3 linked regions of the Notamacropus eugenii genome follow. Each later gene encodes a partner of the first gene's protein in a complex. Links are inferred from orthologs where the notes say so. Each region holds a gene or a part of one and is shown in the gene's direction. Other genes may lie near its edges.

Region 1 (7,550 bases):
CCCCAGAGAGAGGCAGGGACTTACAATCACACAGTAAGTTGGTTAGTCCTTTTAGCGTAAAGGTTTTTGTCACAACAGTCCTACAAGTCTGTGGTTGTGGGGTCAGCCCCCTTTCACTAGGGGCAAACAAAGCTTGGTAGAGGCCGGGAAGGCCTTGCTCAGGGATGTGGGGCAATGAAGACTCAAGGGTAGGAGTCAGGGTTCGAACAGCATAGATGACAGTCTGGATCCCAATGTAAAATCCTTCACATGGGTCCAAAAAACCAAGATCCCAAACACAGGCTGGAGAAGTGTGGCCAAGGAGTCAATTGTCCACAGATTTTCCTGGCTACTGTGAGCCTCTACAGTCTGGGGTCAGACACGGAGGAGGTAACTGCTAGTTCCCACCCATCAGACACAGGCCCATGGAAGCCAATGACAGGTAGTGCTGCTGAGGGCAGGAGCGGCTGCATTAATGATTGTAGGGAGGCCTGGAGAGAGAGGTCTTTGGACTGAGCCATCATGGAGATCTTCAGTAATCTTGGAGGTGTGGGGAACTGAGCGATGAAGGCAGTCACCTTCCCAGAGTCTGGTGGTAATAAGGAGGCGGGTCCATGAGGAGGCTTTAAATCTGGGGAGTGAGGGGCCTCAGGGGCAACAGGGAAAGAACCAACCGATGGAGATGGGAGATAAGGAAGTGAGAAAAGGCATGACCTTGAGGAGGCAGCAGCAGGGCTATGTCATGGAAGTTGGAGGCATGAGGAAGAATGCAGATCAATGGTGATGGGCCAGGAGGTCCAGAGCCTGGCGCAGACAGCTCTTGGCATATGGCATCTCCCAAAAGTAGAAGGGGAGATCCCCAGCGGGAAGGAAGGGGCTTGGTGGCCCAGGCAGGAGCCCCAAACAGGTGAGATAACAATCCCCCAGTGGGGGGGGGGGTGTCCATTCAGCCTGCCTCCAGCAGCACCAACATCAGAGCAGAGGAAGTCTGGCTTGGGCAAGGTGGGGGATTGGCCAGGTGGACTTGATGAGAGGACAAGGAACAAGATGCTGGTACAGGGAGGGCAGTGTACGAGTCATACAACCCATTAAGAGGTCAGGCTTCAGGGGTGACTGTGCCAGGTACCACCCTGGACATTGAGGTTACACAGGCAGAAATGTCACTGGGCTCGTGTTTGATCTGGAAGGATGATGTGCACTCAAAATACCAACTATGCCGAAGGAGTGGAGATCTCGTTAATGTGAAGACCCTCTGATGAGACAGGCTGAAGCCAAAGAGGGATCTGATGTGCTGGCTGCCTTCTCCTACTTCTCCTGACCTTGGGAGGAACCAGTGGAGCTGGCTGGTATTGACATGTCCTCCTGCCCTTGTGGAAGCAGCCAGGCTTCTCCTCTGGCAGCCATTGCCTTTAACTCCCATTGTCCTCCCTTGGCTCTCCTCACTGGCACCATGTGGCAGCTGGCTCATGCCCAGCATGCACTTACCCACCCATTGGTGCTCTCAGTGTAACATGGGAGAAGAGCTTGGCCAGACCATGAGAGACAGCTGCTGCTGTCTGTGTAGTCAGCTCATCAAAGGCTCAGCAGAGGAGTGAAAAACTGTAGAAAAAGGAAATGTGGTGGGCCTGGAAGCACGGAACAAGTGATTGAAATGAAAGATGGCCACTGGGAAGGCCATTGACACTGATGATAATTTCATTCAGAAATCTGAGCAGTAATGGATTTTGAATAGCATTTCCGGATCGCCTGACGTTGAACAAAGCACTTCACAAATATGATCTCATCTGATCCTTCCAATGCTTGTTTTACAAGTGAGCTTGCTGTTTGCCCTTCCTTTTCCAGGAATGTGATGCCATGATGTGCAAGTGAATTGGATTTGTGAAGTAGGGCTGGGCAAAATCACCAGCCTCACTTTCTCCTCTGGAGGCATCCGGGTCAACTGCAGATGGCCCAGGGTGCAGTGGAAGATCCTGACCTTTAAAAGTAAGGTCTTAAAAGAGGTCTCAGTTTGACTGAGGCAATCCCAATCAATGATTAAGGTTAGGTAAGAAATGAGGCAGAGAATGGCCTCTTAAAAAAAAAAAAAAAGATTGGGGAGGGGAGGGGAAGACCCTCAGGGTTTCCGGCCAAAACAGTAACAGTTGCTATTTACGTTCACTCTGAGCCAATCAGGAGCCAAAATAATGACCAAGTAGGGATTGACCTGGGACCTGTTGTTGATCAATACATGAGAGCCCGAGTGATGTGGTCTTTAAGAGAAAAGAATAAAAATGTTTCAGAGATTAAACATTTCCATCTCTCTGAGCAGAGCACCCACAGGTAAGGTTGAGATACTCTGAGTGGACTGGGAAAGAGAAAGAAGAGGGGAGGGAGGGAGAGAGAAAAAGACATGGAGAGAAAGAGGAGAGAGAGACAGACAGACAGAGAGAGACAGAGAGTGAGAGAGACAGAGAGAGAGTGAGACAGACAGACAGAGAGACAGAGAGAAAGAAAGAGACAGAGAGATGGAGAGAGAGACAAAGAGAGAGAGTGAGAGACAGAAAGAGTGAGACAGAGACAGAGAGAGAGAGACAGAGAGATGGAGAGAGACAAAGAGAGAGAGTGAGAGACAGAGAGAGAGTGAGAAACAAAGAGTGAGAGAGACAGAGAGAGACAGAGAGACAGAGAGACAGAGAGAGAGTGAGAGACAGAAAGAGTGAGAGAGACAGAGAGAGTGAGACAGAGACAGAGAGAGAGACAGAGAGAGAAAGAGACAGAGAGATGGAGAGAGAGAGACAAAGAGTGAGAGTGAGAGACAGAGAGAGAGTGAGAGACAGAAAGAGTTAGAGAGAGAGTGAGTGAGAGACAGAAAGAGAGAGACAGAGAGTGAGACAGAGAGATGGGGAGAGACAGACAAAGAGAGAGAGTGAGAGACAGAGAGAGAGTGAGAGTGAGAGACAGAAAGAGTGAGAGAGAAAGAGAGTGAGACAGAGACAGAGAGAGACAGACAGACAGAGAGAGACAGAGAGAGAGAGAGAAAGAGACAGAGAGATGGAGAGAGACAAAGAGAGAGTGAGAGACAGAGAGAGAGAAAGAGACAGAGAGATGGAGAGAGACAAAGAGAGAGTGAGAGACAGAGAGAGAGTGAGAGTGAGAGACAGAAAGAGTGAGACAGAGAGTGAGACAGAGACAGAGAGAGACAGACAGACAGAGAGACAGAGAGAGAGAGAAAGAGACAGAGAGATGGAGAGAGACAAAGAGAGAGAGTGAGAGACAGAGAGTGAGAGTGAGAGACAGAAAGAGTGAGAGAGAGCTAATAAGAAAGAAGGAAGAAAGGAAGGTCTGAGGCTGGATGTGAACAAATGAATGTGAGTGTTCTCCATACCAGTGCAGTGCTCTGATACCTGCGAAGCCACTTACATAGCTGCCCCAAACAGAAAATCATCTTGGAAAATTCCTTTTAGGAGAGATGATAGGCAGTTATGAGAATATTGTCTCATAAAGAATGAGAAGACTGGAAGTTAAAATGAGTTGAAACGAAGCATGATGAGATTGCCTAAGCAAGTCACCCCAGTATTCCAGGATGAATGTGGGAGGAGTACAAGAATCTGAAGAAAAATGGGAAAAAATTGCAAAAATCATCATTGCAAACAGCTGGGGACCTCCGAGTCACTGGGTCTACGTGGCCTAGCCTCAGCGTGGCCATTGCGCACTGTTCTCTGAGGGGGGGATCCAGGGGCCACACTGGAGGCTTCTGGTCATCCAGGAGCCAGTTTCCATTCTCTCCCTTTCATCTTCCTCCCTCTTGAACACAGCGGGGATCTCTCTCCCACTTCCTCTCCTTCTTTCTTTCCTTTCTCCCTTCCCCTCCCCTCCCCTTCCTTCTCCCCCTCCCTCTCATTCTCTCCTCTCCTCCCATCATTCGTGACAGCTGTCCACTCGTGGCTGCTTCCAGGCTGGAAAGGCCCCCCAGGCACAGGCACCCAGGATGCCTGGAGAGCCTGACTCCGGCGGGGGTATGGGAAGGACCCCTCTGTCAGCACCCAACGAGACCCAGACACCATTGTTTGCGCCGGGCCTGGCTGCGAGGAAGAGGGATGCGGGGAGGGAAGCAATGTGTCCACAGCCTGTTCGAAGGCCGCTGCGGGGACGGGTCCTCGAGCCTCTAAGGCCCCCACGTGGTCACTGGGGCGGGGCCACGCCCAGTTGTTTTGTACTTGCCCTGGGCAGGAGGAGGCCGGGGGCGGGGCTAGGGGAGGCGGGGCGAGGGGGCCGCGCCCGGTTCTTTTGTCCGAGTCCGGACTGGAGGCTGGGGGCGGGGTTGGAGGCGGGGTTGAGGGCGGGCCCGGCTCTTTGTCTGCACCGCCCCGGGAGGACGCACAACCGACGCACACCCGGCGCGAGCACGGAGGAGGCGCGTAGACGTCGGCACGTACGGACGCGGTCCGCGCGGAAGCAGCGCGCAGGCGCCGGCGGCTCGAGGAGAGGCGCGCACGCGCACGCTTCCCCGCCGCCGCCGTCGGCCCCGCGCGCGCTTGCGCAGTGAGCGGCGCGGCCTGGCCTGGAGGGTGTGGGCGGCGGCTGAGGCGGCCGGGGGTCCGAGCGGGCGACGGTGGGCGGCTGGACGGCCTGGGTCCGTGGGGACCGGGCCTCGGCGCGATGATGATGATGGCTCTGAGCAAGACGTTCGGCCAGAAGCCGGTGAAGTTCCAGCTGGAGGAGGACGGCGAGTTCTACATGATCGGGTCCGAGGTGAGGATGAGCCCCGGGGTCCCAGTGGGCCCCGGCGGGGAGGGGGAGGAAGGGGCCAGGGCCACGTGGCTGACTCCGAGGCGGGGGTGGAGGAGGAGAGGAGCCCCACGATTTGGGGGGACTCGGGGCCGACCGGAGGGGGGTATGTGGGGAGAGTGGGAGGGGGAAGAGCGTTCTGGAAACGGTCCCTGCGCCCGCATGCAGTGGGCGCTTAATCAGTGCTCGCCGGTGTGGGGGGGCGACCAGCCCTGGCCGGATGACTGAGGGCGGGGGAGGGGAGAGAAGAGGGACGGGGGGAGGGGGGGAAGCGCCCCTCTCCGAGCTCTTCCTGGCCCCCGCCTCTGTCTCCGTCTCCGTCTCTTGTCTCCATCTCTGCCTCTGTCTCTTGTCTCTCTCTTGTCTCTGTCTCTGGTCTCCATGTCTGTCTCTGTCTCTTGTCTCTCTCTTGTCTCTGTCTCTGTCTCTTGTCTCCATGTCTGTCTCTGTCTCTTGTCTCTCTCTTATCTCCGTCTCTGTCTCCGTCTCCTGTCTCTTGTCTCTGTCTCTGTCTCTTGTCTCTGTCTCCGTCTGTTGTCTCTGTCTCCGTCTCCGTCTCTTGTCTCTGTCTCCGTCTCTTGTCTCCGTCTCCGCCTCCTGTCTCCGTCTCCGTCTCTTGTCTCTGTCTCCGTCTCTGGTCTCTCTCTTATCTCCGCCTCTCTCTTGTCTCCATCTCTGTCTCTTGTCTCTCTCTTATCTCCGTCTCTGTCTCCGTCTCCTGTCTCTTGTCTCCATCTCCGTCTCTTGTCTCCGTGTCTGTCTCTGTCTCCTTCTCTTGTCTCCGTGTCTGTCTCTGTCTCCGTCTCTTTTCTCCATCTCTGTCTCTTGTCTCTGTCTCTTGTCTCCGTCTCCGTCTCTTGTCTCCGTCTCCGTCTCTTGTTTCCGTCTCTTGTCTCTGTCTCGTCTGTTTCTGTCTCCGTCTCTTGTCTCCATCTCCGTCTCTTGTCTCTTGTCTCCGTCTCCGTCTCTTGTCTCCGTCTCTTGTCTCCGTCTCCGTGTCTGTCTCTGTCTCTGTCTCCATCTCTTGTCTCCATCTCTGTCTTTTGTCTCCGTCTCTGTCTTTTGTCTCCGTCTCTGTCTCCGTCTCCGTCTCTTGTCTCCATCTCTGCCTCTGCCTCTGTCTCTTGTCTCTCTCTTGTCTCTGTCTCTGTCTCTTGTCTCCATGTCTGTCTCTGTCTCTTGTCTCTCTCTTATCTCCGTCTCTGTCTCCGTCTCCTGTCTCTTGTCTCTGTCTCCGTCTCTGTCTCCGTCTCCTGTCTCTTGTCTCTGTCTCCGTCTCTTGTCTCCGCCTCTGTCTCTTGTTTCTGTCTCTTGTCTCTGTCTCCGTCTCTTGTCTGTTTCTGTCTCCGTCTCTTGTCTCCATCTCCGTCTCTTGTCTCTTGTCTCCGTCTCCTGTCTCCGTCTCCGTCTCCTGTCTCCGTCTCCGTCTCTTGTTTCCGTCTCTTGTCTCCGTCTCCGTGTCTGTCTCTGTCTCTGTCTCCATCTCCATCTCTTGTCTCCATCTCTGTCTTTTGTCTCCGTCTCTTGTCTCCATCTCCATCTCTTGTCTCCATCTCTGCCTCTGCCTCTGTCTCTTGTCTCTCTCTTGTCTCTGTCTCTGTCTCTTGTCTCCATGTCTGTCTCTGACTCTTGTCTCTCTCTTATCTCCGTCTCTGTCTCCGTCTCCTGTCTCTTGTCTCTGTCTCTGTCTCTTGTCTCTGTCTCTGTCTCTTGTCTCCATGTCTGTCTCTGACTCTTGTCTCTCTCTTATCTCCGTCTCTGTCTCCGTCTCCTGTCTCTTGTCTCTGTCTCTGTCTCTTGTCTCTGTCTCCGTCTCTTGTCTCTGTCTCCGTCTCTTGTCTCTGTCTCCGTCTCTTGTCTCTGTCTCCGTCTCCGTCTCTTGTCTCCGTCTCCGTCTCTTGTCTCCGTCTCCGTCTCTTGTCTCTGTCTCTGTCTCTGTCTCTGGTCTCTCTCTTATCTCCGCCTCTCTGTCTCTTGTCTCCATCTCTGTCTCTGTCTCTTGTCTCCGTCTCTGTCTCTGGTCTCTCTCTTATCTCCGCCTCTCTGTCTCTTGTCTCCATCTCTGTCTCTGTCTCTTGTCTCTCTCTTATCTCCGTCTCTGTCTCCATCTCCTGTCTCTTGTCTCCGTCTCCGTCTCTTGTCTCCGTGTCTGTCTCTGTCTCTGTCTCTTGTCTCCGTGTCTGTCTCTGTCTCTTTTCTCCATCTCTGTCTCTTGTCTCTGTCTCTTGTCTCCGTCTCTTGTCTCCGTCTCCGTCTCTTGTTTCCGTCTCTTGTCTCTGTCTCCGTCTCTTGTCTGTTTCTGTCTCCGTCTCTTGTCTCCATCTCCGTCTCTTGTCTCTTGTCTCCGTCTCCTGTGTCCGTCTCCGTCTCCGTCTCCTGTCTCCGTCTCCGTCTCCGTCTCTTGTCTCCGTCTCTTGTCTCCGTCTCCGTGTCTGTCTCTGTCTCCGTCTCCATCTCTTGTCTCCATCTCTTTCTTTTGTCTCCGTCTCTGTCTTTTGTCTCTGTCTCTTGTCTCTGTCTCCGTCTCTTGTCTGTTTCTGTCTCTGTCTCTTGTCTCTGTCTCTTGTCTGTCTCTGACTCCATCTCTTGTCTCTGTCTCCGTCTCTTGTCTGTTTCTGTCTCTGTCGCTTGTTTCTGTCTCTGTCTCTTGTCTGTCTCTGTCTCCGTCTTTTGTCTCTTGTCTGTCTCTGTCTCCGTCTCCATCTCTGTCTCCGTCTCCATCTCTGTCTCCATCTATGTCTCCCCTCCCCCTCCATCTCCTCTCTGACTCTCTCTCCTTCCGCAGGTGGGGAACTACTTGCGCA
Region 2 (7,483 bases), on another chromosome or scaffold:
TGAACTCTGTCTTCAAACAAAAACTCGATGACCACTGGTTAGATATGTAGAGGAGTGGCTTGTTTAGGGATAACTCAGAATCAGGATGGACTCTGAGTTTCCTGACAACTAAAAAATTCTGGGATTCTTCTGGAGAGGGAGACCTCTGGGCACTGCAGCAGGCCAAGGGGCTTTCTTAAACTCCTTGGGAATCTAGAGAGAATATAAGGTTAAGATGAAAAATCCACATATAGGTTGAGGAGGTGGACACACAAAGACACACAGGCACATGGAAACACACTTAGAAAATCTAATGTAGCAAGGAGCCCAAGGTTGAGGTCTCAGGAGACCTACTTCAACCTGTGATTTTGGGCAAAGATCTCTGTGGGGTTCACTTTCCTCATCAATCCACTGACAGAGTTGGGCTCCATAGACTCAGATGTCCCACTAAACTCAGTGCAAATGCCAGTGTGGGGGAATTTGTCTCATTTTTCCTCCCTCAATCCCTCCTGGGGACTCCAGACTTTCCCTGGCAAAGGATTCGGGATGGAATGAAAAGAGTCCAGGGTTTGGAGTTTGGAGTTCGTCTTGGCTTATTACTGCATCAAGTTTTCCCTCTCCGGACTTCGATTCCCCCTCTTTAATTGGAGAACTAGGCAGGGGAATAGGTGTTGGAATAGGTGGTCCTTAAGTACTCTTTACCAGCTCAGATGTTCAGGGTTATGTCATTCTTCCAAGGCTTCGGACGATTCAGTACTGAGGACAGCTCCCAGGACCGCCCCCTGCCGGAGGTCTATTCTGTTACAAGCCCTGAAGTCTGAGAAAGGCTAAGGATGTTCAGTTTCGAGGCAGGCCCAGGGGCATGCTTCCACTCTCACCTTAGGGGACCTTCTCCATCCCTTTAGTGTGAGTCCCACAACTTAGTTTTGGGTTCTGGAGTGTTCCCTAAGGGAGCAAGGTATGGGGGAAGGAGGGGTATGATCTCCAAGTAGATCAGGAATTATCTAGATACTCAAACCCCTTTCATTTTACAGATGAGGGAACTGATGGGGGGGGGGGGGGGGAGAAGAGAAAGAATGTGTCCAGGATCACACAGGGAGTAAGTAACCGAGATGAAATTCCAAACCAGGGCTTCTGCTTTCAAACTCAGCGCTCTTCACTCCCTTCCATTCCACTGGGCTGAATCTCTGCCCCGGGCACGGGCCGCTGCTCTGCTGGGAGGAAATTTCAGAAAGGAGGAACTAGGGGATAAGGTATGGGTGATAAACTCAGAGCGGGGATGCCTATAGAGCTGGGTTTCCTGGGGATAGGTCTTGGGGATACAGGATTCCCATACATTCCCTCTACCCCACGTAGCCTGACTTGGCCGGAAGGGGGACGTTGTGCCTGACGGAGAGCTCCAGGGAAAGGATGCTCCGGCCTCCTTCGGCACTCCCCGCCCGGTACCTCGGCTGCCCAATCGGCGCCCTGGGGGAGTGGGCAACCCGCAGGGCAGTCGGGATTTGGAGTTCTCCCAGGTTGGCCCCCTCCCCACCCGGGTGTTTGAGAGGACTCCATCTCCCAACGTCCCCCGGGAGGTGTGAGGATTGGCAGACCCAGCCCACCCCTTTCCCCCTCCCCCGTGCCCCCCTTCAGTCCCTGATCCCCTCCCCCCTCCTCCTTGGTCGCGGCCCCGCCCCCCGGCCCCGCCCCTCCCCTCACCGCAGCCGAAGAATGAATGAAATTGTAGCGCGCTGGGCGGCGGAGCAGGAGCAGGAGGAGGAGGCGGCGGCGGCGGCGGCGGCGGCGGCGGCGGCGGCGGTGGCAGCGGCAGCAGCGGCGGGGGTCGGGCACGGCCAGCGGAGCGCGGGGCCCCGGGGGGCCGGAGCCGGGTCCCGAGGGCCGAGTGGCTACGGCGCCGGGGGAGGGGAGCGGGCCATGGCCACCGCCATCCAGAACCCCCTCAAGTCGTGAGTCTCCCCTTCCATCCCATCCTCCCTCCCTCCCTCCCTCCTCCCACCGGGCACGGGGCTGGGCACGGCGGGCAGAGAGGGGACAGGAGCCCTGGAGCCTTGTGTCTGCCCCATTTCCCTTCCCGGAGATTGATGGGTGCCACTGACACCTGGGCGCCCTCCGCCTCCCCCCCGCATCCCCCAAGCCTTGGGTTTGATAGGAGCTGGGGATTATTGGGAGGGGGCGGGGGATGGGCACGTTTGGCAGCTGAACCTGTCCCCCCTCCACCTTCCAAGCCGTCTCTATTGTCGCCACCCTCAGTGCAGGAATTTGCAGATCCCCAGGTCCGGGCTGGGGGCGGGAAGGGAAGTGGATCTGCTGGAGGCTGGGAGGGGGGGGTTCACCATCCCCGCCAACCCTAGGCACTGGTTCTGGGACTTGTTAACCTGCCAGCCTCCAAGGCTGGGGAAGGGAACTGGGAGCCGCAACCGCCTGGGTCCCCCCCCACTGTGGACCCTCCAGTATAACGGGGCGGGGGCGCCCCTTTCCCTGGCTCCACAGGCTCCTCCCCCAGGAGTGACAGGCGCGTGCCCGACAGAGGGGGAGGAGGCTGGGGAGTGGCGCGTGCCCGTGAGTTGTCGGGGACGCGGAGGCGCACAAAGGGGCCCCGGGACAGCCCCCCTTCCTGGCCCACCCCGTGAGCTTGGCCTTGACCTTGGGGTTGAAGGGGTGTGAGGGTCAGAGCGAGGCCGCGTGAGACTGAGGGCAAGCAGCAGGAGGGTTGGGGGTTGCTGGGTTTCCTGGAAGTCTCTGATCCCTGTCTTTTCTATCTCTGTCTCTGCGAGATCTGGAAGCTAGGGGCCGGGCGACCAAAGGGGGGGGTGGGGGGGGCCACCGTGCACGCGCCAGCACGTGTGGCCTGTGTGCGCGCTCTGCGGGTCTGTGCGCGCCCCGGCTGCTTGTAAGCTCCTGTGTGAGACTGTGATTGTGTGGGGGGGTCTGTGCATGTGAATCAGGAGGCCTTTCCGGGTGTGCGTGTGTGTGGGGTCCAGTTGTCTCTGTATCCCAGTGCGTATGCCTGTTGTCAGTGTGATCTGGGTGTCAATTTGTGGTGTAGAGTTGTATCAGCATAATTGTGTTGTATGCTTCTGTATTATGTGTTTACTGCGTGTTGTGTACTTGTGGATTGTGTGTGGTAGCCGAACCTGGGTGTAAGTAAAGGTATATGTGGTTCACACACGGTCTAACTACACATAGTGCCCACGTTAGTGCCAAAATAGGAGTCTGTCTCCGGATTTTCACCTGGCCCAGGCCTCACACCACTCTGTCCCCTTCCCCCACGAGCTGCCAGGGCCTCTCCTTCCCGGGGCCAGACCTAGATTTGGCCTCTAGTGACAGCACCGACCCCCTCCTCCACCTTCCGCCCCGCCACCCCCGCACTACATTTCCCAGCATGCCCCGGGGAGTCCCTCTCCCCCCCCATGTTGGTTGATGTCCCCGCCCCCACCCCCACCCTGAGAATGAATGGAGTGGCCGCCAGGGCCAGGGCGCTGCAGACCCCGAAGCTCTGAGGTGACCCGGGCGAGGGTCGGGCCAGGTGCAAGATGGCCACGGTCAACCCCAGCCCAGTCCGGTGGTGAGCCCGGCACCTCCGCCCCATCCCATCCCACAGGGCGGGGGTTGCAGAGCGTGTGTCTCGGAGTGGGATTTTGTGTGTGTGTGTGTGTGTGTGTGTGTGTGTGTAGGGGGGAATTGTGATTGTGTCTCCTGTAATTGTGTGCTTGTCTCGTGTTGCTGTGTGTGTAACGGAGATTTGTGCATTCGTCTTGGATTGTGTTATCAGTGGTTTGGTCTTCCGTGAATCTTCAAGTGGCATTGTATTAATCTATATTCCAAAACAACTCCACAAACGCCTATCGACCACCTACTGTGTACAAGGCCTTTGGTGTGGTTGTCATTCGGGGAGCCTCAGTGTCCTCATCTGTCTAATGGGGATGCGAATTCCTCCGCTACCTGTCTCCGTTCCAAAGGAGAGGAATTGTCTTCTTTTGCTGTCAGTGTGTAATTTGGTGACCCCCTTGACCCGTATTTGGGATTGTGTAGACAAAGGGATCGGATTAGCTGATCTGCAAAATCCCTTCCATTTCGACATACCTGGGGGAGGGGGGAAGTGAGGCTAGGGTGGGGGGAGGGCGGTAACTGTATCTGGTTTTGTGTCCTCCGGGTAGTACACCAAGGAGTGTAGAGGTAGTCTACCTGGTGTATAATATATGGGTGTATGGTGTTGTGGGGGGCGTTGTAGAAGAACTAAAGTGGGGGGAGGGACTGTGCTGGCGCTCACTCCCCCTCCACCCCCACCCCGGGACATTCGCGCTGCCGGGGATGCCTGCGGGCGTGGGCACCACCTAGCGCTCAGCCGCGGGGGAGAGAGGGTCAAGCTGTCTGAGCCTGGTTAGGGGAGGGAAGGGCTCTACCCCTCTCTCCGCCCACTGAACATCCGCCCCGGCGGCATCCCAGACTTTAGCTCCTCCTCTTTTTTTTCCCATCCAAATATGCCAGCTACTCCCCAAAGTTTGAGGGCTACCACGACGTTCCAGGACACTTCCCCGCACACCAGCACAATTCAGATGTTCTAGGCCCAAGCCCCTGCTTTTCAGCGCCTACTCTCTGGCACCTCCTGCTTTTCAGTCCCCCCTCCCCCCACTACGTTCCAGCACCCTCCCCAAGTTCCAGCTTTCTCCAGAAACTCTGGACCCGGAGATTTCGGTACTTCCCACGTTTCAGTGACTCCCAGACCCTCCAGTGACTGGGCCACAGTGTCCCAGCGCCTTCCCTAAACCCAACCCAACTGAGGCCCAGGGTCCACCCGAACATTCGAGCCGGACCCAGGTGTTCCGGCGTCCCCCGAAGTCCCGGGGCATTCCCAGAGGTTCGAGGGCTCCAGGCTCAGACCCAGAGGCGTCTGCTCGGCTGACCCTGCTTGCTTTGCCTCCCCGCAGCCTGGGCGAGGATTTCTACCGCGAGGCCATCGAGCACTGCCGCAGCTACAACGCGCGCCTGTGCGCCGAGCGGAGCATGCGCTTGCCCTTCCTCGACTCGCAGACCGGGGTGGCCCAAAACAACTGCTACATCTGGATGGAGAAGACCCACCGCGGGCCCGGTGAGGAAAGCGGCGGCGCCTGATTGGGAGGGATGGGGAGAGGGAGGAGGAAAGGGGAAGGGGAGGGGGGCAGATGCCTCAACAGTCTCCCCACCTTTGCCCCTCTCCTCTCCAGGACTGGCCCCTGGACAGATCTACACCTATCCGGCCCGCTGCTGGAGGAAGAAGCGAAGACTGAACATCTTGGAGGACCCCAGGCTGCGACCCTGCGAGTACAAGATCGGTCCGTGGGGGGCCCCCAGCCCAGCCCCTGCCCCCAGTGTGAGCGTGGCCCAGCGTGAGCACCTGAGCCTGTGTCTGAGCGTGTGCGGCCCCCGGGGCCTGTGTTGGTGGTATTGAGTCTGGGGGGGGGGAGGCACCCGGGGCGCAAATTGTTATTGATGTCAGAGACAGCGTAGAATGAGACTGACAGGGACCTAGGGACCTTGCCACCGAGGGAGGTAGGTTTTGAACTCAAGTACTCTGAGTTCCCTTTTATCTGTGTGGTAACCTATCACCTGACTGTGACTAAGAATCAGAATGACTTAAAAGTGTTGGAATCAGGAAGATCTGGATTCAGATCCTGCCTCAGACAATTGTGGTGAGATCTTGGGCAAGTCAAGTTCCTCAGTTGTAAAACAGCATGTACCCCACAGGTTATTTTGAGGTGCTCCAATGAGAGAATGTATGTAAAACATCTCCAAGAGCTAGATGGAAGCTGTTGTGCAAATGTGGTTGCATTTGTGATTGTGTGTCTGTGTGTGGTTGTGATTGTGTGACTTGTGGTAGTTTGTGATTGTGTATCTGTGTGGTTATGTGTGTATGGCTGTGTCTGTGCCTGTGGTTGTATGTGATTGTATCTGTGATTGTGTCTGTGTGATTATGTGTGGTTGTGTGTATGATTGTGTGTCTCGGTGCTTGTGTCATGGTTGTATGTGTATCTGTGTGATTGTGTGTCTGTGTGGTGTCTGGCAGGGTGAAATCTACATGCTGAGAAAGCATTCGGCAAACATGTGTACTCTGTGCAAAGCCATGCTTGTGATGGTGTCTCCGTGTGGCTGATGGCAACTGAGTGTATGAGAACTCAGAATTGAGGGCCTCAGTGAGTCTCTGAGAGTATGTCCCTAAGGGGTGGCCCATGGGAGCATGTCTGCCTTAGTTCCAGACTTAGTATGCACTGCTGTGAGCATCTCAGAAAGTGCCCCAGTGTTTTAGGTCAGGACTCAGGTCATACTGTCTAGAGAGACTCCATGGGGTGGGTTGGGGGTTGGGTAGATGTGTGTATGTGTGTGTGAGAGGGTGGGAGGCAGAGGAAGAAAAGAGGAGGGTGAGAGAAAGACAGGGAGGAGGGAGAAAGGGAGAGGGAGAAAGAGATGGAGAAAGAGGAGAGAGAAAAGGAAGAGGGAGAAGATAGAGAAAGAGAGGAGACAGAAGGGGGTCCTTGGCAAACAACATTTCTTTGACCCTCCCTGTTTTCCACCCTTCCCTCAGACTGTGAAACACCCCTAAAGAAGGAAGGGGGTCTCCCTGAAGGGCCAGTCCTGGAGGCCCTACTGTGTGCAGAGACAGGAGAGAAGAAGATAGAACTAAAGGAAGAAGAAACCATCATGGACTGTCAGGTGGGGTGGGGTGGGGGGCCTGCCCTCCAGCCCTGCCCCTATCCCTCCTCCAGACTTCTTTTGGAATAGCCACATTCTCCCCTCCAGCACATATGAGGAAGGCCACCCTGACCATCCTCCTGAGATGACACTTGGGAGTGTCACTCATGTCTGTCTCCTGCTCCAAAAACTCCCTTGACTCCCCACATCTGTAAGGAATTGGCATCCCTAGCCTACCCTTCAGTCTCAGAGGTCTCCACACTCCCAGGGGCTCTCTTCTCGAAATTAAGACTCGAGTGCCTCTGAGTCTTTGTCCCCTCCTCTCTGTCCTCCCCAGCCTTCCTACATCAATCCCCTTCCCCTAGTTCCTTCAGCCTTGCAGCGCCTTCTCTATCCTATATTCTCACCCTGAGTTGGGTTTTTTTTTGGTGTGGAAGGTTCCCTCCCCACCCCCTCACTCTAACAGAGTCCTTTTCTTGCCCCTTGCCCTCCTTGGAGACCCAACTCGGGGGCAGCCCCAGCTAGAGGTCTCTCTTCCACCATCCCTGATGCTGCTGCCCACTCCTAAAGCCTCAGCAAGCATCCCTTCCCTGAAAACTTGTGTTTCCTCCTGCCCAGAAGCAACAGATGTTAGAATTTCCCCATGAACTTGAGGTGGAGGACCTGGAAGACGACATTCCTCGCCGAAAGAGCAAAGCCAAGGGGAAGGTAGCTGGGGCCCGGTTCCCCCTGCTCCCCTGCTCCCCCTCCCCCTTCCCCTCCCAGGCCTGAGCCCAGCTTCTCCCCGGGCCGCCCATAGAGCCAGATTCTCTTATCTGCTGAGCCCATCTCTGTC
Region 3 (7,754 bases), on another chromosome or scaffold:
AAATGGCAAACCACTCCAGAATCTCTGCCCAAAAACCCTAAATGGGGCCATGAAGAGTCAGACACGACTGAACAACAACAAATGTTAAATATGTGGCATTAGGAACGCCCTCCACAAAGGTCTAGCTCAGTATATCCAGTCTTATATCTCAGCTAGCAGTGATTTTCAACTCTGGAACTAACCAAAAAGTTATTTGGATGGTGGAAAGGCAGAAAGATTCAGTGGATCCAAGACTCAAAATTGTTAAGAATTTCCATTCTTAAGTATGTTTGGCTTGACTTCACATGTGTAATTGATAGCATATTCTTTGCCTTCTCAATGGGTGGGGAGAGGCTGGAGGGAGGGAAAGAACTGGGAACTTTTCATCAGCTGAGCATGCCCATGAACAGAGAACTCTATGCACATGCCAGCATCACACAGAACTAACACTCTATAAATATTGTCAAATGGCAGCAGCTTTCTTTCTTTTTGAGTCATAGGCCAGTCACAGTCTGGTGAAGCCCATGGGCCCGTTCTCAGAATTATGTTTTTAAATACACAAAATAAATACATAGAATTATACAGGAAATTAATGATATTGAAATACAGATATCAAAACTTTTTAGAAACAGGCCCATAGCCCCCTGGTTAATAACCAATGATATATGACATTGAGACATGGAATATAATTGCCTCTGAATAACTAAAAATTGAGTATTTCATAGAGCAAGTGTGAGGAATCTGAGACCTCGAGGCCATATGTGGCCCTTGAGGTGCTCAAGTGTGGCCCTTTGACTGAACCCAAACAGGAAGGGAAGGGAAAAAGGAAGTGAAGGGAAGGGGGAAGGGAAATAAGCATTTATTAAGTGCCTACTATGTGCCAGGCACTGACTTAAGCAAATATTATCTCCTTTGAGTCTCACAACAACTCTACAAGGTAGGTAGTTATTATGCCCATTTTACAGTTGAGGAAACTAAGGCAGAGATAAGTGACTTGCCCACAGTCACATGGTTAGTAACAGTCAGAACTTCCTGATTCCTGGCTCTATCCATTGTGTCACCTAAATACTGGGAGCATCTTCTGTGGAAAACATTTTTTAAAAAATTAAAATTTTACTCTGAACTTAAACATCAAACAAAATCGGTATTTCCCATCTATACAGTAGAAAAGAAAAAGATGTGAAACTTTTACAAAGGAATATTTGCTTCAGAAGATAATCAAAAACAGACAAACATACTCCCCCAGAACATGTGAAAGGCACAATCCTCCTCCTCCCCTAGGCCACCTCAGTCTGTAGGGAGAGGAAGGGGATTAGGTTCACAGCTTAACTCAGTTCCAATGAAAGACAGTGCCAGTTCCAAGTCCAATACCCTCCTGTGGGTCAGAAGCCCAGGCATCATGACTCTTGGGGTTTCCCTGCCAGTCTGCTTCACCCCACCTGCAACCCTGGCTCCCAAGGCACCATGACTGGCACTCAGAGGCCCAGAGAATCACCTCTGACAGGTACCTGAAACTGAGAATAACAGAACAGAAACCAACATGCTCAAGACCATTTCTCCAAGCTGGGTCATGGGTTTACTTTATGAAAAGAGCACCACAGAAAAATGGTGGAGGAGAACCTGGTCTGTTCCTCTCACCATTTTAGACTCAGGTAAGAAGATTACTCCACCCAGGTGGAATTCCATGTTAGATAGCTTGGGCATATTCAAAGGCACACTCCATGTTAAAACTGGCCATACTCAAAAACTCAGGCTGCACACGAAACTGCAGATCTCTCTTATAAACTGCCTATTTTTCTTCTAAAATATATAACTTCACCCAGCACCTTTCAAAGCTGCCCTACTTGTCCGGTCTTCTTTTCAGCCTGCCTTCTTTTCTCTCCATTTTTGAAAAAAAAAAAAAGCCTCAGTGGCTTTTATCTTGGTTTTTTGTTCTTTTGGTCATCCTATCTCTATCTTCATTTGCCCTCCTTTCTCCCCAGAATGCCATAGGAAAAATAAAATAAAGCCTCTAGGACAAATATGCACAGAGCACATTCTGGGAAACATGGGGGCAGCAAAAATCTCACAAGATGTTCATGGACGGGTTGCAATCTGTATTGTTGAAAGGAACTTTTGAATCCAAGAAGTCATAAAACTATTCGATAAATTCACCCAGAATTCAGAAAAGAAAGAGCTCAGAATTGACCATTTATATCTTAAAGAAACAGAAATGGTATCTGAACTGAGGAATTTAATCTATGGTCTTATTTTATTAATTGTCAAACCATAGAATACTGGGGTAAAAGTTGTCATTCTTCTTTTTCTAGAAGTGTAAAATAAGGAACAAATAAAAGTTAAAAGATTTTACTCATGTCTTGTGGTCACATTAACCCTTTTCTCTCATAGAAGGATGGATTTTGGGTAAAGACTGAGGATGAGGAAGAAGGCCTTTGACAACTTCTCAGAAAGAAGGCTGCCGATCAGCAATCTACCAGAGGAATATAAGAAGCCAAACAAGTACTAAGATGGATTAGCTCTTGGGAGGAGGGGAAACCAGCAGTTTCTGTTCAGCCAAGCAGTTTGTGAAAAGTACCAAAGAATTGTAGGAAAAAGGTAATACAGAGGAACAAGAATCACCCCAGTGGGAGATCACACGGGCATAGATTTAGAGCTGTACGCCATCCAGAACAGATTTAGACTTTTAAAGTTAACCAGTGAAAAATTCTGTCCGCCTCCAGATAGAGAACTGATGGAAGCAGATTATTTTCACTCCATGAGTAATACGAAAATGTTTTGTATGACTTTATAAAAAAAGAGTTATCTAGTCCAGTCCACTTATTATATAGATGAGGAAGCTAAGGTTAAATAACTAATCAAAGTCACACGGATAGAAAGTGACAAAGCTGGCATGTGCACCAAGTTCATGTTTAGATTAAAACAATGAAAAGAACAGGTACCTAGATACTGAACCAGTTAGTGAGTCAATGAACATTTATTAAGCATCTTCTGTGCCAGGCACTATGCCAAGCGCTGGGGATACAAACAGGAAAATCAGTGTCTGCTCTCTAGGAGCTTATAATCTAATGGGGGAAAGTCTACACAAAAGGAAGCTACATTTTCTTTTCTATCTATATGGTTGCAGTCACTGTGCATTTTGTTTTCCAACCTCTGCTTACTTCACTTTGCATCAGTTCATGGAAGTCTTTTCATGCTTCTATGTATTCATCACAACCATAGGTTTCCCACAGCACAATGCAATTCCAGTATATTCACCCACTACAATTTGTGGAACCTTCCCCAGTCAAAACGTGGTTTCCAGTTCTTTGCTACCCCATGAAAATCAAATTACTTTAAATGCCGTAAGGGAAGATTGATGAGATGCTTCTTCCACCAACACCCTTTACAATGCATGTCAGAAGTTGTCTTCTTGTGTGTGTGAAGGAATCCTGCTTTGAAGCAATTCAGGCTGCCAATAATTCTCTGCCAAGCAGGGTTAGAGCCAGGATTAGAACAAGAGGTGAGTTCCTTCTGGAATCTCCATCTTGGGGAATGACCCTGACCAGAGACTTCTCCACCTCGCCCTCATGTCCCAAGGGCCCCCTTCTCTCATTAACTCCTTCTTGAACCTCCATTTTGAAGAGACTCAAACCAACCAGCCAACTTTCATTCTCTTTCTCCACTCCTCCACCCCAAGCCCCTGGGCACCCCCAACCCCTTCAAACTCCTTTCCCTGTTAGAGAAACAAAAGCAGGGCAGTTAGGAGCCTCAATGAATAGAGTGCTGGACTTGGAGTCATGGAGACCTGAGTTCAAATTCAGCCTCAAACGCACAGTAGCTCAGTGGCCCTGGGCAAGGCACTTCACTTGTTTGCTTCAGTTTCCTATTTCTGTAACGGGATGTCATGAAAAGCACTTACCTCCCGGGTGGTTAGAAGGATCACATCGGAGTGCTATATTAAAGGCAGCATTATTATTATTCATTAAAATGTAGTAAGTTCCTTGAGGGCACTTGTAGCCCCAGGGATGTAGCACAATGCCTGGCCATGGGAAGGGCGCAAATGCCCGCTGACTTAATCTAATGTGAACAGGCAATCAGTCACGCAGAGATGGGCAGCGGGGGCACGCGGAAGTGGGGGAAGGAGAGCAGCCCCCCGCAGCAGCCCCTCCAGCCCTGCCGAGACTGGATGGGCTGGTTTGGCGGGGACCTTGGTGCCTGGGCTGTCTCTCCCAGGCTGGGAATGAATGGGAAACCTGCCCTCGGCCACCCCCACGGGTCTCGGCCCTTAAGCTAAAGACAGTGACATTTACTAGGAGTTGATCAGAAGGCGGTGAAGGTGCGCGATAGCTTCGGGGTCTGCTCGGGTTTTTCCCCTCCTCCTGTCCTGCAGGGGGCGGGAGCACAGCTAGGAGGAGGAAGATGCCTCCGGCGGTCTCCCGGTTGGGGGCGGGGGGAAGGAGGCGGGGTTCTGGCCAAGGGAGGGAGGGAAGCCGGCAGTTAGAGGCGGTTCTCGCGAGGGGCGGTATTTGAGGGGTGTCCCTGGATTGGGTGAGACATGAGGTATAGGCGGGGCCTAGTCGGGGGCTGGGCGGAGTCAGTAGTTTGTTGCTGTCAGCGGGAAGTGGGGACATTGCTGCCCCTCCTCCACTCTCCACCCCCCCCCCCCCCCCCCCACTTCCACCGAGGGCTGAACTTCCAGCGGGTGGGTGCAGTACCGAGCCCAGATCAGGATTTCTCCGCCTCCTCCCCTCCCAGCCCAGGAGCGGAGCTAGGACTGACCCGATCCATACCGGATCAGTGCAGAGTTTAGAAGCCGGATCAGGAAATCTCGGGTCCCAGACCGGGAAATCCCGGAACCTGGATCAGTAAAGCTCGGAGCTCGGACCCGGAAGCCCCGGAGCTCGGATCGCGGAGGGGGTTCCTTGGGCGCGGAGCCCGGAACCTGGATCGAGGCTGAGACCAGACGGGACGGAACGATGTCGGGCCGCGGCGCGGGCGGGTTCCCGCTGCCCCCGCTGAGCCCCGGAGGGGGGGCGGTGGCGGCGGCCCTGGGGGCCCCCCCGCCCCCCGCGGGGCACGGGATGCTGCCGGGAGCGGCGTTGAGGGGCCCAGGGCCTGCAGGAGGCGCGGGGGGCCCCGGGGCCGCAGCCTTCCGCCCCATCGGGCCCACGGGACCCGCGGCGCAGTACCAGGTGCGGGGCCGGGGGCCGGGGCTGGGGCGGCGTGGGGCCCGCCGGGGCTCTGGTGCAGGGGCCTGGCAGAGGAAGCGGGACTCACGGTGCCAAGTTCAAGGGTCACTCCAGCCAGGGGTCAAGGCCAACTACAGTTAGGGTTGGGGGGCGGCCCTAGAACACAGAACACCAAGTCCGGGGCTTCCCAGGCCAGTGGCTTCCCAAGATAAGGGCACCATCATAGGGAACTCAGAGGTCATCCAGGCCTGCATCCCTCAATCCCCCATTTTACAGAGGAAGAAACTGAGTCCAAAGAGGTTAAGTCGCTTGGCTGAGGTCACATAGATAGTAAGTGTCCAATCTGAACCCAAGCCCTCTGATCCCCAGGCCAAGCCCTATGGGAAGGGCAGGTGGGTATGGAATGGGGGTTGGGGGAGATTTGGTGCACGTGTGAACCTGGGTAGGGCCTTCGTGCTAAGGCCAGCCTGCCCCAGGTTGTGGAGCAAAGGGAAGCTAGTTTGAGCACCTGAGAGTGAAATGCCACATTGGCTGATGAAAGGAGTGGGGTAAAAGGGCATGTGTGGAGGTGGAAATGGAAATGGGGCGGTGGGGTGTCGGTGCAGGTGGGGACAGTCAGGGCTAGAAGTGTGAGGTGCTCCTGAACAAAAGGAGGCCCCTAAGGAGTGTGGAGATTGTTGTAGGCAGAAAGAGCACCGAGGCCTTCCATGGGTAGAGAGGAATCCTGGGTTTCTGGGGGGATATGGACAAACTAGGGGAGGGTAGAATTACTTAGGGGTAGGGGATGGCAGCCCCATTGCAGGAGTGAGGTTTCCTAGGAAGATTTTGTTTCAGGCGTTTTCTGTTTTCTGGAGCCATGAGCCGGTAATGTTTTATCTTGCCTTGGCCTGTTATGGTTTTATGTAACTCCCAGTGGCTTTTTTGGAGGGAGAGGTGGTGCTGATGGGAAGCTTAGAATTTAAGTTGAATGGACCTCTTCCTCATGCACCAGGACCTCCAGAGGAGGTCCAGTGGGTTTCCTCCGTTGGGTTTTTCAGGAAATGGGATATAGCTGAGTTAAGCCAGGTAACCAGGATAAGTCCTTGGGAAAGGAGGCCTGGGCCTATGAGAGCCCAGCTCCAGGATAGTTACAGGCAGGCATTCTCAGCACTTCGCTGTCATTGTGTCTGGGAACTGATTGCAGTAAGAGGGTTCAGAGAGACTCAGTTGAGTGCAGGTCTTGGAGTTGCTTGGAGTTGGGCAATCCTAGAGGTCAAAGGTTAGTTACTTCTGCCCCTAGAAGGCAATACCTGACAGGGATTTGTGCTGGGCTCTAGTTAGTGGGGACTTCACACCTATTTAGCCCAGTTCCCCAATCTCTTAGTTGTTTTAGATTGTTTATGAATACTTAGGAGAGTCATATCCTCTCCTATCTTCGTTCTCTACACACATTTCATTTCCGTCCACTTTGGGCTATGCTGAAGACTAAACCACCTACCTTAGCATTGAATTTTCTTTGCTGATCCACTCAAAGTCTTTGGTTGCTCTGTTCCTCTTTTCCCTCCAGGCTGAGGGCATTAGAAGGAAAGCAGCTTACAGAGGTAGGGGAACACCTATGCATTCTGCTAGCACTCTCAGATGATAACTGTTAATAGCATTTTCCCCCTTCTTACCTTTCCCAGTTGATTGGATATGATAAGCCATATTGACCCTAGTCTCAAGGCCTTGAGGGAAACAGGTCCATCTTTCCTACCTCCTGCCTTGCTCATGAGGACTTTTAGAGCCAAGACGGTTCCAGGAAGATCCAAAAACAAACCAGTTCCTTGAGCCTATCATCTTTGACATGAATTACCAGTATCCTAGGCAGCTTCAAGCCTAGTATGGATTCAGGGCTAAACTTTTTTTTTAAACCCTTCCCTTTTTGAGATGATTAAATGGCATTGAATTATATTCCCTCTCAACTTTCTCTCCTCCCCTTCCTTCCTACTGTTGGGAGCCGTAGGAAGGGTTTACTCCAATATGGGATTCATGGAAATAGCCTTGAACATGGCAAATACAGAATCAGCCAGACTATTTAGTTCACAAGACTTTAGGGAATCAATGGTCCCTTGCTCCTGAGGGAAGGGCAGATCTGGATCTAGGGGAATTTGGCAGGCAGTGACGGGTGGGGACATTTTTCTGGACCACTGGCCCTCCTTGTGCCTAGACCACGATATCTAGGGGATAAAGAACTTTGTGATGCGGTATCAGTACTACTAGGAATGTCAGATGAGCTAGGGGAATAGGGACTGTGAGTGTCTGTGGTGAAAACTGAGGAAGGAGTTAGTGGGGGCCTGTTGAAAAATGAGGAACTTCTCAGTGACTGTTGGTATTTGGACAGCTCAGCAGTAGTATCCTAAAGACAGTGACGTCTGTTCCACTTTCATCTGAGACCTTTTTGGTTAGACATGACATGCAGGATCACTAAAGTGCATTTTGTCTCTTACAAAGTTACTGTTTGGAGCATCAGTCCAGAGGTATGTTGTTCCTGGGCTTCATTCTCTACCCCTGACCAGCCAGTCTTGTCTCAGTCCTTATTCTTGTTAAGTGATAAGGGCTGAACCAGTTCTTGATTCTGGCTCATTTTCA

Evidence for each region. The genes of interacting proteins can lie anywhere in the genome.
Region 2: SMARCB1 (region 1) and DPF1 share a complex: the UniProt entries of both Homo sapiens proteins name them as parts of the neuron-specific chromatin remodeling complex. The link is inferred for Notamacropus eugenii from reciprocal best matches to the Homo sapiens genes SMARCB1 and DPF1.
Region 3: SMARCB1 (region 1) and SMARCD2 share a complex: the UniProt entries of both Homo sapiens proteins name them as parts of the BAF complex. The link is inferred for Notamacropus eugenii from reciprocal best matches to the Homo sapiens genes SMARCB1 and SMARCD2.

Annotation. Positions count from the first base shown.
Region 1 is NC_092875.1:1,882,218-1,889,767, forward strand, and holds the start of SMARCB1 (SWI/SNF-related matrix-associated actin-dependent regulator of chromatin subfamily B member 1), read left to right. Parts: upstream 1-4,484; 5' UTR 4,485-4,617; coding exon 4,618-4,710; intron 4,711-7,531; coding exon 7,532-7,550.
Region 2 is NC_092876.1:31,450,752-31,458,234, reverse strand, and holds the start of DPF1 (zinc finger protein neuro-d4), read left to right. Parts: upstream 1-4,465; 5' UTR 4,466-4,677; intron 4,678-4,716; exon of another isoform or gene 4,717-4,910; 5' UTR 4,911-4,986; coding exon 4,987-5,071; intron 5,072-5,186; coding exon 5,187-5,348; intron 5,349-6,541; coding exon 6,542-6,669; intron 6,670-7,266; coding exon 7,267-7,356; intron 7,357-7,483. UniProt on the Homo sapiens protein: May have an important role in developing neurons by participating in regulation of cell survival, possibly as a neurospecific transcription factor. Belongs to the neuron-specific chromatin remodeling complex (nBAF complex).
Region 3 is NC_092873.1:343,810,274-343,818,027, forward strand, and holds the start of SMARCD2 (SWI/SNF-related matrix-associated actin-dependent regulator of chromatin subfamily D member 2), read left to right. Parts: upstream 1-4,736; 5' UTR 4,737-4,934; coding exon 4,935-5,150; intron 5,151-7,754. UniProt on the Homo sapiens protein: Involved in transcriptional activation and repression of select genes by chromatin remodeling (alteration of DNA-nucleosome topology).